2 linked regions of the Tribolium castaneum genome follow. The protein of the gene in region 1 purifies or fractionates together with the protein of each later gene. This does not show direct contact. Links are inferred from orthologs where the notes say so. Each region holds a gene or a part of one and is shown in the gene's direction. Other genes may lie near its edges.

Region 1 (6,612 bases):
ATCTTGTAATTTTATTGGAAATCATGGCTTGTAAAGCGGTGACTAATTGTATGTACAGGTGAATGATCGTTTTTAGCATTGAAAAAAGTAAAAGACATCTTCACTATCTATCTAATCTTAAATTAAAAGCGCTATAGCAATAATGTATTAATGTCCCCAGTTTTGACAAAATTATCAAAAACACTTCATTTTTGATAAATATAATAAAAAATAATCATTTTATTAACAAGAAAGTCAGAGAAAAACCTTAAATTATTAATCATTTCTTATTTTTTTTATTGTATTATTTAACTATGTACTAGTATTATTAGCATTTTGTATAAATAAACAATCGAAATTTATTATAGGGGACAATTTTACAATAATTGTGATACTCACCATTACTTATCATTATCAAAATTATTAAAAAACGGAGCGAATAATGAATCAAACACTAAAATTTAAAAAAGTTTTGATGAGATAAAGAGGGTGAATCTACCAAATGTATGTCTAAAATAATAATCGCTCAATAAGAATCAGCATTTTTAATTATTATTAATTAAATTAATATTATTATTTATTATTTTATTTAATAAAATACAGGTGTTTTCATTTTTATATTTAAAATTAATTAATTAATATTAACTAATTAATTAAGCCGCAAAAAATTGTTAAACCTTGTGTCATCTGAGAAGAAGCAGTGTTGTTCTGCCATCAAAATCCATACAAAAGTGTTGCTGGTCCCAAAAATTTATTAATAAAGTAAAAATTCAAATAAACGTAGCACCCTCTGCGAGAAAAAAAAAAGACAGACGAAATTTTCTTGCGCTTTGAGCGCCAAAATACAGGGTTTTGTGAATTGCACCCACAAATTTTAACCACTTAAAGAATGCGTTATGAAAAATTAATTTGAAAACAAAACAAATTCCGTATCCAAAAAATTTTTTGATTTTTCTCCCCACGATTTTCACGAGCCGTTCAGTGGGTCTCTCCTTGTTAGGTGCAAGTAAAATTTAAATGAAAATAAATTGCACTGAACGTTGACCGTGAACGTTTTTATGCACAAAAAAGGGATAACTTTGTGCACCAAAAAAATTAGCAGGTGTTTGTTTAGACGTTCGGTTAGTTAGTCGTAATCCTACTTTCGAGTGAATTCACGTGTCAGTTTGAAATTAAATCATTATGGCCAATTATTCAAACGCCGAAATGAGTGATCTGGTTTTAGTGTACGAGGTAGTGGAAATAATCCCGTTACACTCTTACCATCTCCAGCGGGTGCAGGCTCTCAGATTTAAATCCGTGTGATTTTTTTTGGATTCACGTGAAACAACTAGTGTTCAAATTGTGTTCCAAGTAATACCGCCAAGGAGCTAACCGTTTGTGTTACGCAAGCATCAACCGTATCATTTAGAAATCACGAGGGGATGTGTGCAAGACCGCAAGCTTTCCTACCCTGAAGAGTTCATTGCGACCGAAGGGCAACATTTTGAGCAATTTTTATTATGGTACTGACCCACTAACATTGACACTGATAAGTTTTTTTGTCTTTACGCTCTTTAGGTTCAATAGTTTCTTTTTATTAGAATGAATGAAAATATCGTATCTAGACATAGGCGAAGACGGATTTTCAGCCTCAACTTATTTTTAATTTTAACTCAGAAATGATATGTTTTTGGCAAAAATTGGAGAGAGAAAAGTTGTTTCTTTTGACGAGGTCTATTAGTGGTTAAATTTTGTGAGCGCTATCCACAAACAGCCTGTATGTAGGTTGATACGCTACTGCTGAAGATACAACAAAGTGTATGGAATAAAGTTGTAGAGAATTGTTTCCTGTAAAAAAGCCCGCGACACCATATTTTTTTCTACAGTTCAGGGATAAATTAACTTTCTATTACTTGACCACCGGTAAAACGAAACGAATCTGTCGCTCCAGCGTCTTTTGAACGTTTTTTGGGTCTAAACCGTTGATGATAGTGATATGGTTTTGCAGACTTTTTTAGAGGAAATTTAATTCTCTACAAATTTATTCTTAACACTTTTCTTGTACGAGGTTAGATCAATATTTACGGTTCCTGATATACAAAGAAAAAGAATTTTTTAAACATTTTTTGTTTGTTTCTCAACATGATCTTCATGGACTTCAATGTACTTGGTCCATCGATGTTCCAATACTTCAGTGCTTTTCAAGAAAAGTTTTCCGATTGCTCCTCAACCCGGCCATTTCCTGCGGTCATAACTTCATTATCGTCCTCATATTTTTTCCCACGGAGGTTTTCTTTAAATTTTGGAAATAGATAGTAATCACTGGGTGCCAGGTCTGTTAAATATGGAGGGTATTCTAGGATTTCAAAGCCAGGGTTCTGTATGGCAGCCACGACAATGTAGATTTTATGACCGGATTTTGTCCCGATGGAGCAAAATTTTGAGTGACAACTTTTCTGGTCTTTTTGGCTCGATGCATTCGGACAATTGTAGAATTAACCCTGCATAATAAAAACCCATTATCATTATTATTATCATTAGAATTCCTTCTGTAACCTAGAACACTGTGACCAAAATCTTTCCCCCGTTGAATTCGAAATTTGCATAGAGGTGAAAAACCTCTGTGATGCCACTCCATACTTTGCTTTTTGCCACTTGGAAAGGAGGAGAGTCCACTAAAAGATCTGTCATAAGCTTGTGAATTTCAGTTGGTGTTAATCCCTTTTTCTGCAAATATGTTATCACCGCTCTGACATAACATTTTTTCTACTATGATTAAAATTTATCTGTCATCGACCGTTCCACCAACATTTTTTGCAACTTTGCCCTTTGCGCTTTGCAAAAATAGTAAACTCTAAAGTTAATGTGTTCCACCAATTTTTTCACTGGTTGTAAATTTTTGTAAAGCAAAGTATTTTTGCAAGGTATATTTTACAAAGTGTGTAAAATATACTGTTGTTGATGGAACGCAAAGTCGGTGGTGGAGTAGGGCCCAGCTGTTAAAGAACAACATACACATAAACAAAACTTGGCACAATTAATTAATAATGAAAGTTCTCATAGAAAAATAAGAGCCGATATCATGCAAAGCCTACTATGTCAGGGACCGTAAATACCCTCGTATCTTTAACCGTATTCACAGCTTCTTGAAAATTACGGAACGAAGGCGAAATTTTAAATAATTTTTTCTTATGTCTCTTATGAAAATTGTAGTCGTCATTTTTTTTTTAGTTTGTTAGGAGTGCAAAGCTCAAAATTTCTGCACTTTTCTTCTAATAATTAGTGAATTGGTTGGACTTAAATTAATGTAAAACGATTTGACGCCGACACGTACTATTTTTTTGGGTTCAGAAAATTCTGCAATTTTTGTATTTCCTTTCATCTCCTACTTATAGTCCTTCTTAGTCGTTAGTTAATATGAAGTTTAATTTTGTGTTCAGATTAGGGATCATTTCGTGCAATTATCCAAGAAGTTTAGTGAGGAGTTGCAAGCGCAAAAAGAGGAAGAAGAACGGAAGGAGAGAGAATTGTCATTGATAGAAATGGGTGCTTCAAGGAAAAGAAAACGAGATGAAATTGATTCAGAATCGCCTGATGTGGTGATAGTTGAGGACAGTTTTTATACTCCGGTTCCAGTAATAAGCGATGTTATTGATGAAAATAATTTCTATCGCAGAAAAAAGCCACGCAAGCGGAAATTTGATGAAATTAATGATGGAGGTAATGAAGGTGGTAAAAAGAAGAAAAATAAGAAAAAGGGAAAGAAAGGGAATGTACAAGCTCCTGGACAGTTTAAAAATGAAGGAAACAAACTAAATCTAACTCAAGTTCGTTCATTTAAAACTGAAGGAAAACAACAAAATCAAATTCCAATCCATCAGAATAAAGGCAACGGAAATAAACAAAATCAGGCTCAAAATGTACCGAAGAGTAAAAGGAAAAGGAATAATGCCGGACAGGGGCCCCAAAATGTTCAAAAAGGCGGGAATCAACCCAAGAAGAAGTTTAAGTGCAAGAATGCAGAACAGAACAATAAGAGTTCGAATTTCATGCCGTATGATTATTCCTCTGTTGATTTTAGGCAGTTTCAAGGTGGGGCCGGCAGTGCCAGTGGGGGTGTGCAGATGAAAAGGACTTTCCAACCCAAGGTGAGTCAAATTTCCAATTGATATTTCTGGCGCTACTCGTATTTTAGAATCGCGGAAAACACAACAAAAAGGGGGCTAAATCATCGACGTTTGCTAACTTGGGTAGACACAACAGAGGGCAACACAACTGAGTTGTTTATTTAATGTTGTATATTTTTTCAAAAATAATTACAATCGGTTATAACATTTACAAATGCGTTTTAGCGGTTCTTAAAATATCGTATTTATCCCGCCCGCAAGTTCCCTTAAAGTCGTCCAACGACAAGTCAACAATTGCAATCCCTCCCAGTCCTTTGGCTTTCACATAACTGGCTTTATATCCGGCTGTGTCGGTGTCTTCATAACCGACCCAAAAACCGCCGTTGTTATTTTCATCAGGGAGTCTAAAAATGTAGGATCCTTTGCGTTTTGAGGGATCTGGGACTCTTTTCACTTGGAAAGCTTTCTGGGTTTTGGCGTTTTGTGGGTCGTTGAGTAAAGTGCAAATTTCGGGGTAGCTTAAAAGACCGGCGTCTTTTGTGAGGGGGCCTGCTTCAGCAGGGCCCGAGATGTGCAGAGGCGGAGTGCCGTTGATGTCGGATTCGTCGTCCATTGCCCAAGCGCGACCAAAGGTTGGGAGACCCAACACGATTTTGGCGCTGGGGGCCCCGTTACTCATCCTAATTTACACAAGAATAAAAGTCGAAAAATTAAAACGATTTGCTGTTCTAACTAAACTCCACATAGAAGTATTGGGAGTTTTAATAATGATAGTCTCCTGAAAATTTGTATACAACCCTTTCCGTTAGCTTTTTAATGAAAATTAAACCAAATGGCGGCATTTTGAATGGAAAGTTGTGTTTTTACTGCATTTTTGCTTTACCCGAGCGATTTTAAGTGAGTGTTTTCAGCTTTCCCTATCCCTAAATTCAGTCTTTTTTGAAATGATAATGTATTTTTTTGAAAATTTTTGGATTTTTACTTTTGGATCAGGACATTTGGCGTCTTAAAAAACAGGTTAAAATCCTACAAATTGAAAAGCAAGCAATGGAGAAAGACCTAAAACCCTTCAAAAGGCAATAATCTTCATTCACTCCAAAAGTACCTAAATTGGGCACATGAAAAAACAGGGCAGAGTCTTAAAAATTTTCCAAAAAATAAACATCCGTAAAAGATCTAAAAAACTTACAAAATGCTTGTTTTTAAGTACCTAAAATGGCTTTTTATTTTTGGACTGGGACATTTGGCGTTTTCAAAAAACAAGGCAGAACCCTAAAAATTTAACTGCTCTTCCAAAACAAAACAATCGAAAACGATCTAAAAACCCTTCAGAAAGCATTATTTTGTATGAACCCCAAAATTACTCAAATATCCGTAGGCCACTAAAAATTGGGCATATGAAAAAACCGTTAAAATTTCCCAAAATAATGCAAAATTACTTTAAGAACGCCCTAAAAAATTAACAAATTACCTTGTTTTTAATCACTCCAAAATGGCTTTCTGGACCAGAGCAATTGGCGCATGCGAAAAAAAGAGAAAAACAACATCAAATCAAAAAGGTATATTTGGCGCCTTACAAAACAAGACAGAATCCAAAAAAGGTATGTTTTTCCTAAAGTAAACAACCGAAGAAAACATGAATCTTTCAAAAAACAAAAATCAAATTTTTTATGCGCCCAAAAAATACACGAAAATCAATAGACCACCAAAAAAGGGGCACATGGGAAAACTGTTGAAAATCATCCAAAATCAAACATAATTACATTAATAGCAACCAAAAAAACCTTACAGCATTCCTTGTTTTTAGACATAACAAAATGGATTTTTCTTTTTAGATAATTTTATTGGTACACGCAAAAATCATTGAAAAAGAGCCAAAAATCTTATTCAGGTTATTTGTCAGGTTTTCGAACCCTCCAAATGGATTTTTATTTCTGGATAGGACGTTAGAGCACAGCTTTTCATTGGATAGTAACTGGTAAATTAAAAAAAAAACAAAAGACTTGTCTGAATAGGTTTAAAATTAGAATATAAAAATATTATTAAACAAAAAATTAAAACTATATCTGACTATATTACCAAGTTTGACATCTAATAAAATTTGGTAAAATCTCTTAACATCTTTAACATATTCTGGCAACCCCAAATTTTATCTCTGACCAAAATTTACTCCAAAAAAATATACTTTAAATCCAGATTCTTTGATGAATATTGCTTATTTTTCATTACCATTCAGCCAAAAGTTTAAATTTTTCCATACTTTGTCTTCTTCGTCTACATGGATTCTGATAGCTTTATCTGTTTTTTTCGTAACATCTTAGTTTAGACCAATTAGACACTTTAAAAAGCTAGAAAATTCTCTATGCCTCAGTTTAGCATATCCATCTTTCAACGCTCGTTAATTTATAATGATGTTAAAGTTTTTGATTCCATGGTACTTTTTCAGTTGAATGTTTCGGTGAATAGAATTCGTAACTCTACAAAGATTTTTTGTTCTCACACGGTTAATTGTTAATTTTTATGG
Region 2 (7,494 bases), on another chromosome or scaffold:
TTAAAATGGAACATCAATAAATTCGGTTCAGTTAATATATAATTTCTAGTCAATAAAACATCATACTTTCTGGGAGACTACTTGATATGTACGGTTGAAAATATCACATTGGAGGTATAATTATTTAAAGTTATAGCTAAATAGTGCCATCAAGAACATCCATAGCTACAATAAATAGGAATTATTGTCCTCTTCTGTCACTGATTTAAGAACAGCCAAAGCTCAAATTTTAACAAGTTCGTAAGCTTCGTCAAAATGTAAGACTTGACTTTATTATAATTTACAAAATCTAGTATTCTTGTCGCTTAATCCAGCACAAAATGTTGACCCATGCAAATGAGCAAGTCCCAACATAAACGACCCTAAACGAAGGGGGGATTAACAAGAAATTTACAGTTTGGGCTGGAAGCCAAAACATACAACTAGACTTGAATGTGGGGATTATTTTCTGTTTACATTCTTCAAAAATATCCTTCTTCTTCTCCATAATGCTCATGGCTGTGAAACTTGGGATTATTTTACGTTACAGCAAAATGTGAGCACTCACCAACATAAAAAATTACCAAAATCTGCGGGGTCATTAAGAATTGGTCCAGTAGCAGTTTTTGTGCTACAATTTTGTACGAGGTTCCGATAAATTTCTTGTCTAACCATCTGTACCTACAAACGTGTTACTTTAACAATGTAGAAATTGAGTCTCGGAAAAGTATATTAATTTTGGTTTGTGACCTACCAGTACTGGTATACTGGAGCAATAACAGTCACACCGAGAATTCCAAAACATGTGAGCATTTGGCGGTCATAGATGATCGGTTCTTTATTCTGAAATTTGAGCAAAATCAGAAACCAAAATTAATATAAGGAAACCAAAACCCAAAAAAATAAATACCAAATGGTCAAAAATGGTCCCTGTATTCCGGTTCCGTAAACTGCATATCGAGCAATTGCAGGCGTGTCGTAAGACGTGGGCGTTTTAGTCTAACAATTAACTCAAATTAAAAAATTAAAGAGTATGAGAAAACTTACTCCAAACATAAATAATAAACGAACGTCTTTTAAATGGGCGATCAGTGTCGCTTTAATAATTCACAACTCACCAGAACTTTTCTCGAGATGGTTTGTTGGGAAAATTCGGCTCCCACGTAAAGTGTTCCATAAACCAGAGAATTGGAAGCGATCGGGTATTTGGTAAATGCATATTTAATGAATTTTAAAATACTTGACATGCTGAAACAATTTACTGTTAGAGCCATATTTTAGTAGAAAAAATCGCATACTAGAATTCAATTAATTAGAGTTCACCAACACAATGGTCTTTTTTGAAGCGTTTCATTTTTTTAGTGCCAAACTACTAGCTAACTGATTTGATAAAATGATTGGGTGGCATTTGGGCAAAAATTTCGCAACAGATGCGTTCTTGCGCAAGAACGCTCTTATTGATTGTAAGTCGCTCTGTTTCAAATATCACAGGACGCGGATTCTAATTAGAAATTGTTCGAATGTTGTGGAAAAATTCATAATTCAGTTGGAAACAATAATTACAAGTTATTTATTACAAACAGGAATTTTCCGACGTTTTTATTTGTTTAATATAATTTATGTCACACTTTTAAGGTCTTGTGTATGACAATAAAGGGCTTTTATTTACCTGGAACAACACAGTAACTTAATAACAACGCTTGTAATTCTTCACAGCTACTACACACCACAGCAGATAGGTTTTGTTTAATGAATTCAATTGGCGCTAGTTAAATAAATTACTGTAAATAAAATATGTAACCTTCTACGAGTGTATTATGAGTATTAACTAGCTTATCTTAGGCAATTTTTGAGCTACTTTCTTAGGACGACACGTGATACCTTTCAATTCACTTTTGTAGACATTAAACAATGCACAGGTACGCTTAAGTATCATGTATGCAACATATGGTTACATAAACTTGATCTATGTGTTTTATTGTTTTCTATGAGTTATACGTTAATAATAGTTTTGAAAATAAATGAATAGTAAAGTTCGGCAAATACCTAATCTGTTTGTTTTACGAACAAAGTAATTAGTACGTTATCAAGGCTGTTAAAAATGTGATTGTTTTTTAATTTTTAAGTTTTGCCAAATATCAAGACGATTCGTGATAGATAAATTGTTACAGTTGCGTTCCGAGCTCATCTCAAAGATTCTCCGAACTCATTTACTCAAAAATTAAAACGAATTTCAAAAAATTTGAGACAAAAGTTAGTCTGAGAGGTTTTTACTTTTTTTGTAAAATCCGCAAGTTATTAAACTAATTTTTTAAATCAGTTTGTCAGAAAAACTTTGAATGCTGATCAGACGCTCGTTCGAGTGACTTGAGTTCAAAAAAAAAATAATTTTCTGTTGTTAGGACAGCAAAGCAAAGAAGTTTCTCCACGACCTAAGAATTTACTTTATGATTTTTTTTTTATAAAAAAAAAGAATAATTTTTTGTTAACTAAATTACATGATAAAAATGTGGAAAAACGCCTCGGAAGACTTGTTTCCGGAACGAAACAAATATTTTATAAACTGTGTTTTTAAATATCGTGGTTTTACTTATATGGGAAGCTAAGTACAGTCACCCAAAATGAAAATGATGCGTCTATAAACAACCACCTACCGTGCATTTTTGAATAAGATACTCATTTATTTTACAATATTTGATAAAAAAAAACGTCTAAATCCATAAATCTTTTGACAAAACAACGTCTCAAAATTACAAAATTACAAAATTTTCCAAGCTTTTTGGAATGTATTACCTAAATAAACCGAGCTGAAAATGAAACAAAATTTTTTTTTTATTTTTCTGATTATTTCGTAAAAATTATCAAGAATAAGATAAATATCATAAAATACTTTAATTAATGTTCAAATTTGTTCATTATACAGCAAATTTAATTTCACATTGAAATTTATATTTTGCATCAACCGTGTAAACTATAGATTGCTCCCTCACATTTTGTCTCTAATAAAAGCTTTTATTACTATAATTATTATTATTATTATTATTATTATTATTATTATTATTTATTAATAATTTATTATTTATTTATTAATTAATTAAATTTTCCAAAAAATGAAACCCTCAATTATTTCAAATGATGATAAACGAAATGTCGAATTTCTTAAAACTTGGGCGTTATAGACACGTCATTTTCATTTTGGGTGACTGTACTTATCAATAGCAACTCGTACAGGATGTATAATTTTTCATTTTGCTTCTGCAACTAATTAAGTCGCATGGGGAACACGTTTATTGCATATTTTTAATAAATTAGCATGTTTATATAGCAGTGGGAGTTAGATTTCTTAATAAAACGTTGTGCATGACTAGGTAATATGGTAATGGTCTTTTGTATTCATAATTGCTGGAACAATGTAAGAATTTTTGTTTTGTATTTTTTATAATAAAAAAACAGTTTTTTATATTTCCCGCCTCAGCTGTCAACAAAAACATAACCACAAAAAATATTGTAATATAACCTCCAAATAACTTGTTGCGGCATGTTTTTGTAAAAAAACATTTGAAATAATTAAACAATGTTTACGACTAAAGCTTTTATTAAAAAGAACAAAGTTGGGAATTATCTGAAGGTTAGTATGTGACAATAAACATGGGGGTCCATCTTTTCTAATATTGTAGCACGTTCGAGAACATTATATTCGTGATGACATTTCTTGTGGTCTTCAAGAGTGTGAAACTTGTTTGCCAGTGGAGTCATTCCTGTCCCCAGACCACGAAAACAAATGTTCTTTATTTACTTCTAATCATTATCTAATACTAGACACAAATGTTGTTCTTGATCAGGTATTTTCCGAGTTTATTTTTTATAAAACTAGCATTTAAATTACAAATTTAGATGGATATTTTGGAAGAGTCCGTCATTGGTAATGTGATAATCCTCCACACAGTTTTAAACGAGGTGAAGCACCGAAGTCTACCAATTTACAAACGCTTGTGTGCTGTAATTGAAAATCCGAGTCGTCATTTTTACGTTTTTATAAACGACCACCATCAGTAAAAACATTTTTTCATTATATTGATACAAACCTAAAACATTGCTTCCAGAGGCACTTATTTGCAACAAAACGAAGGTGAATTAATTAATGATTACAATGACAGGTGTATTAGAGCTGCGTGTTCCTGGTACATAAACCATGCCCCTAAACAAAAATTCGTTTTCCTCACTGACGACTCAGCTAATCGGATTAAAGCCCAAAAAGAGGATATACCTTCTTACACCGTCTCGGAATATGTGCAAAATCTCAACACTTCGGGTCTTACCGATAAATTATCGAGGAAAGATTTTCACGGAAATGATTTTACGAAAGACGTTTTTCCCAACCATTTGAGTAATGTTGAGCTTTTGACTGGCATAAGAGAGGGAAAGCTGCTCCAGGGGACTTTCCGAGCCTCTCGAGATAATTTCTTGGAAGGTTTTGTCAATGTGGATTCGTACGAAGAGCCGGTAAGGCAATTTTATAAATACATTATTTTTAATATTGAAACTCGAAGCGAAGCTATTTGTTTTTATTTTCTGTAGGTGATAGTTCAGGGTCGGGCTGGCCTTAACCGCTCAGTGGATGGTGACACTGTAGCTGTTGAGCTTTTGAAAGAGGAGGAATGGGTGTGTCCGAGTGAAATAATCCTAGAGGATGAAGGGGTTGGTGATGAGAGTGTTGACGATGTTGTGACAAAAGAAAACGAGTTACAAAAAGCGACAAAGAAGAAAAGTGGAGCTAAACCTACAGGACGTGTTGTTGGAATTATTCGTAGAAAGTGGAGACAATATTGTGGCATTTTACAAGGGGGCATTGATGGTGTTTATCAGATGTTTGTTCCAGCTGATAAAAGTATACCCAAAATTAAAATAGAAACGAGACAAGCGGAGTTTCTAAGGACTCAGAAATTGATCGTTACGATTGATTCCTGGCCCAAACATTCACGCTATCCTCATGTAAGTGTTATAAGTAAATAAATAATTATTTACTCAAAAAAAATTACCACTAAAGGTAAGCTGAAAATACAATAAATCAAAGACAAACAATGATTATAAAGAAACACTAACAAATAAAATAAAAAAACAACAGTTTACAACTTAGTCTAAGAAAAAATTGGAAGCATGTTAAGAAAGCGTCAATAATAATGTCGTAATAAAATTTATTTATTTTAGAGGTAATTTCCATTCTACTATAATAAGAGTCAACATTTAGAACACTAATATTAAAAGACATTAAAAACTGACTGATTCAGAAATGTTTTTATGGCAAACTATGCAAAAACAGCTGTGATTAGTAAGAAATTTTCTACAATGTCAAAAAAAGTAACATAACTTGAAAATTATCACAGATAGCTATAGGAAATGCTAATACAAATCGATGTAGAAAAAAATTCTCTTCCATTTAATAAAATAAAAATTGGGACATCCCATTTGAAAAAATTAAGTTATGGGCACTTGAAGTTGTTCAAACTTTAAAATTTTTGGGTTTAATAACGTCTTTTCCAATTTTGAATACACTGCAGAACAGATAGAGGCTTTCTCTTTTAATCCTCCAAATATGATTTTGAAATCTCCAAAGCTAAGAGAGTTACCGATTTTTTAAGTGACAGATGCAAATCCAAAAATTTTCAAAAAATCTTAAATATCCTGAAAATGGTTCAACTTAGGTATAGGGAAAGTTGATAAAAATAGCCTTAAAATAATTCCACTAATCCATTTAAAATAAGGAAGTTGCATAAAAAAAAATTACTCAGGAAAAAATTTCTTTTTGCATTAATTTTTTGTAATTTTTTAAATAGGGTCATTTTGTGCGAGCTTTGGGCAACATTGGGGACCAAACCACCGAAAACGAGGTCATTTTGCTGGAACATGACGTCCCTCACAGCCAATTCTCTGAGGAAGTTCTCAATTGTTTGCCCAAAATGCCTTGGATCATAACCGATGATGTAATGTTTATTTTCCTCCCTGATTGTTATTCATTGCGCTTTTAATAGGACGTCAAAAAACGAGTCGATCTCAGACACCTTGACATTTGCTCAGTGGATCCCCCAGGTTGTACCGACATTGACGACGCCCTTCATTGTCGTCCACTAGCTGACGGCAAACTTGAAGTTGGTGTTCATATTGCCGATGTTTCGCATTTTATAAGACCTGGAACGCCTCTAGATCGCGAAGCTGCTTCTAGAGCCACCACAGTGTATTTGGTTAATAATCGAATAGATATGGTGCCAGCATTGCTCAGTTCAAATCTTTGTTCGTTACGAGGAGGAGAGGAAAGATTCGCGTTTTCTTGCATTTGGGAAATGGACCAAAATGCCAATATTTTAAGTACGCGATTTCATAAAAGTATAATTAAGTCGAGGAAAGCAATGACTTATGAAGAGGCGCAACTGATTATTGACGACAAGACCAAGCAGGACGCTCTGGCCGAGGCCTTGAGGAGCTTGAACAAGTTGGCCAAAATTATGAAGCAGCGCAGACTGGTTAATGGGTAGGCACTTTTATTTACAAATATATTTTTTACAATAAAATACACAATACAACAAAATTTGTCAAAATCAAACAAACAAACAAAAATCAATTTTTTTAACGTTACTTTGTTTCTTTATTAGAGCTTTAGTTCTTGCATCGCCTGAGGTAAAAATCCAGATGGACTCCGAGACGATGGAACCCTTGGACGTGGAAGTGAAAAAACTGTTTGAAACAAATTCCATGATTGAGGAATTTATGCTGCAAGCAAATATAAGTGTCGCTGAAAAAATCCTTGAGGAGTTTCCCGATTGTGCGATGTTACGTCGTCATCCCGTCCCTCCAGCTACTAATTTCGATCCCCTGGTTAAAGCAGGCCGTCACCTTGTACGTACTACTTAACGTCACCCCAAAATTTAATTTCGCTTTTCAAGGGCTTTGAAATTAGAGTGGATTCAGGCAAAAACTTGGCAAAATCACTCGATGAAGCAGTAAACACAAAAAATCCCTATTTGAACACAATGTTCCGAATTTTAGCCACACGTTGTATGCTACAAGCTGTTTACTTTGTCAGTGGGACGTACCAAAAGGAGGAGTACTTCCATTATGGTCTAGCTGTGCCTTTGTACACACATTTCACGTCACCAATTCGTAGATACGCCGATATCATAGTCCACAGGCTACTTGCAGTTATCTGTGGTGCCGACTCCACTTATCCGGACCTTTTGGATAAGAATAAAACGACCGAGTTGTGCCAAAATTTGAACTACAGGAACCGAATGGCTCAATATGCTGGAAGAGCCTCAATTGCGTTCAACACACATGTGAGGATTTTTCACTTGATTTAATAATTTCTTGGTAGTTGTTTTTCAAAGGGAAACTACAAGATGAGGAAGGTTACGTGTTGTATGTCCGTAAAAACGCCCTGCAAGTTCTTATACCACGATATGGCCTGGAATGTACCCTATTTGTGGCCAAAAAAGGCGAAACGTCCAATATTTTTGAATACAA

Evidence for each region.
Region 2: the proteins of Rrp6 (region 1) and Dis3 purify together in Drosophila melanogaster (affinity purification with western blotting; 3 studies listed by BioGRID, with this or other methods). This does not show direct contact. The link is inferred for Tribolium castaneum from reciprocal best matches to the Drosophila melanogaster genes Rrp6 and Dis3.

The regions. Positions count from the first base shown.
Region 1 is NC_087398.1:13,222,042-13,228,653, reverse strand, and holds the end of Rrp6 (exosome complex component 10 homolog), read left to right. Parts: intron 1-3,401; coding exon 3,402-4,109; intron 4,110-4,156; coding exon 4,157-4,240; 3' UTR 4,241-4,296; downstream 4,297-6,612. Other genes in the region: Idgf2 (imaginal disc growth factor 2 precursor), read right to left, coding at 4,297-4,768. UniProt on the Drosophila melanogaster protein: Catalytic component of the RNA exosome complex which has 3'->5' exoribonuclease activity and participates in a multitude of cellular RNA processing and degradation events.
Region 2 is NC_087394.1:36,184,865-36,192,358, reverse strand, and holds the start of Dis3 (exosome complex exonuclease RRP44), read left to right. Parts: upstream 1-3,075; 5' UTR 3,076-3,553; coding exon 3,554-3,607; intron 3,608-3,656; coding exon 3,657-3,821; intron 3,822-3,873; coding exon 3,874-4,031; intron 4,032-4,082; coding exon 4,083-4,482; intron 4,483-4,557; coding exon 4,558-4,971; intron 4,972-5,813; coding exon 5,814-5,960; intron 5,961-6,008; coding exon 6,009-6,505; intron 6,506-6,626; coding exon 6,627-6,870; intron 6,871-6,917; coding exon 6,918-7,307; intron 7,308-7,345; coding exon 7,346-7,494. Other genes in the region: mpv17-like protein, read right to left, coding at 290-498, 548-660, 890-978, 1,098-1,226.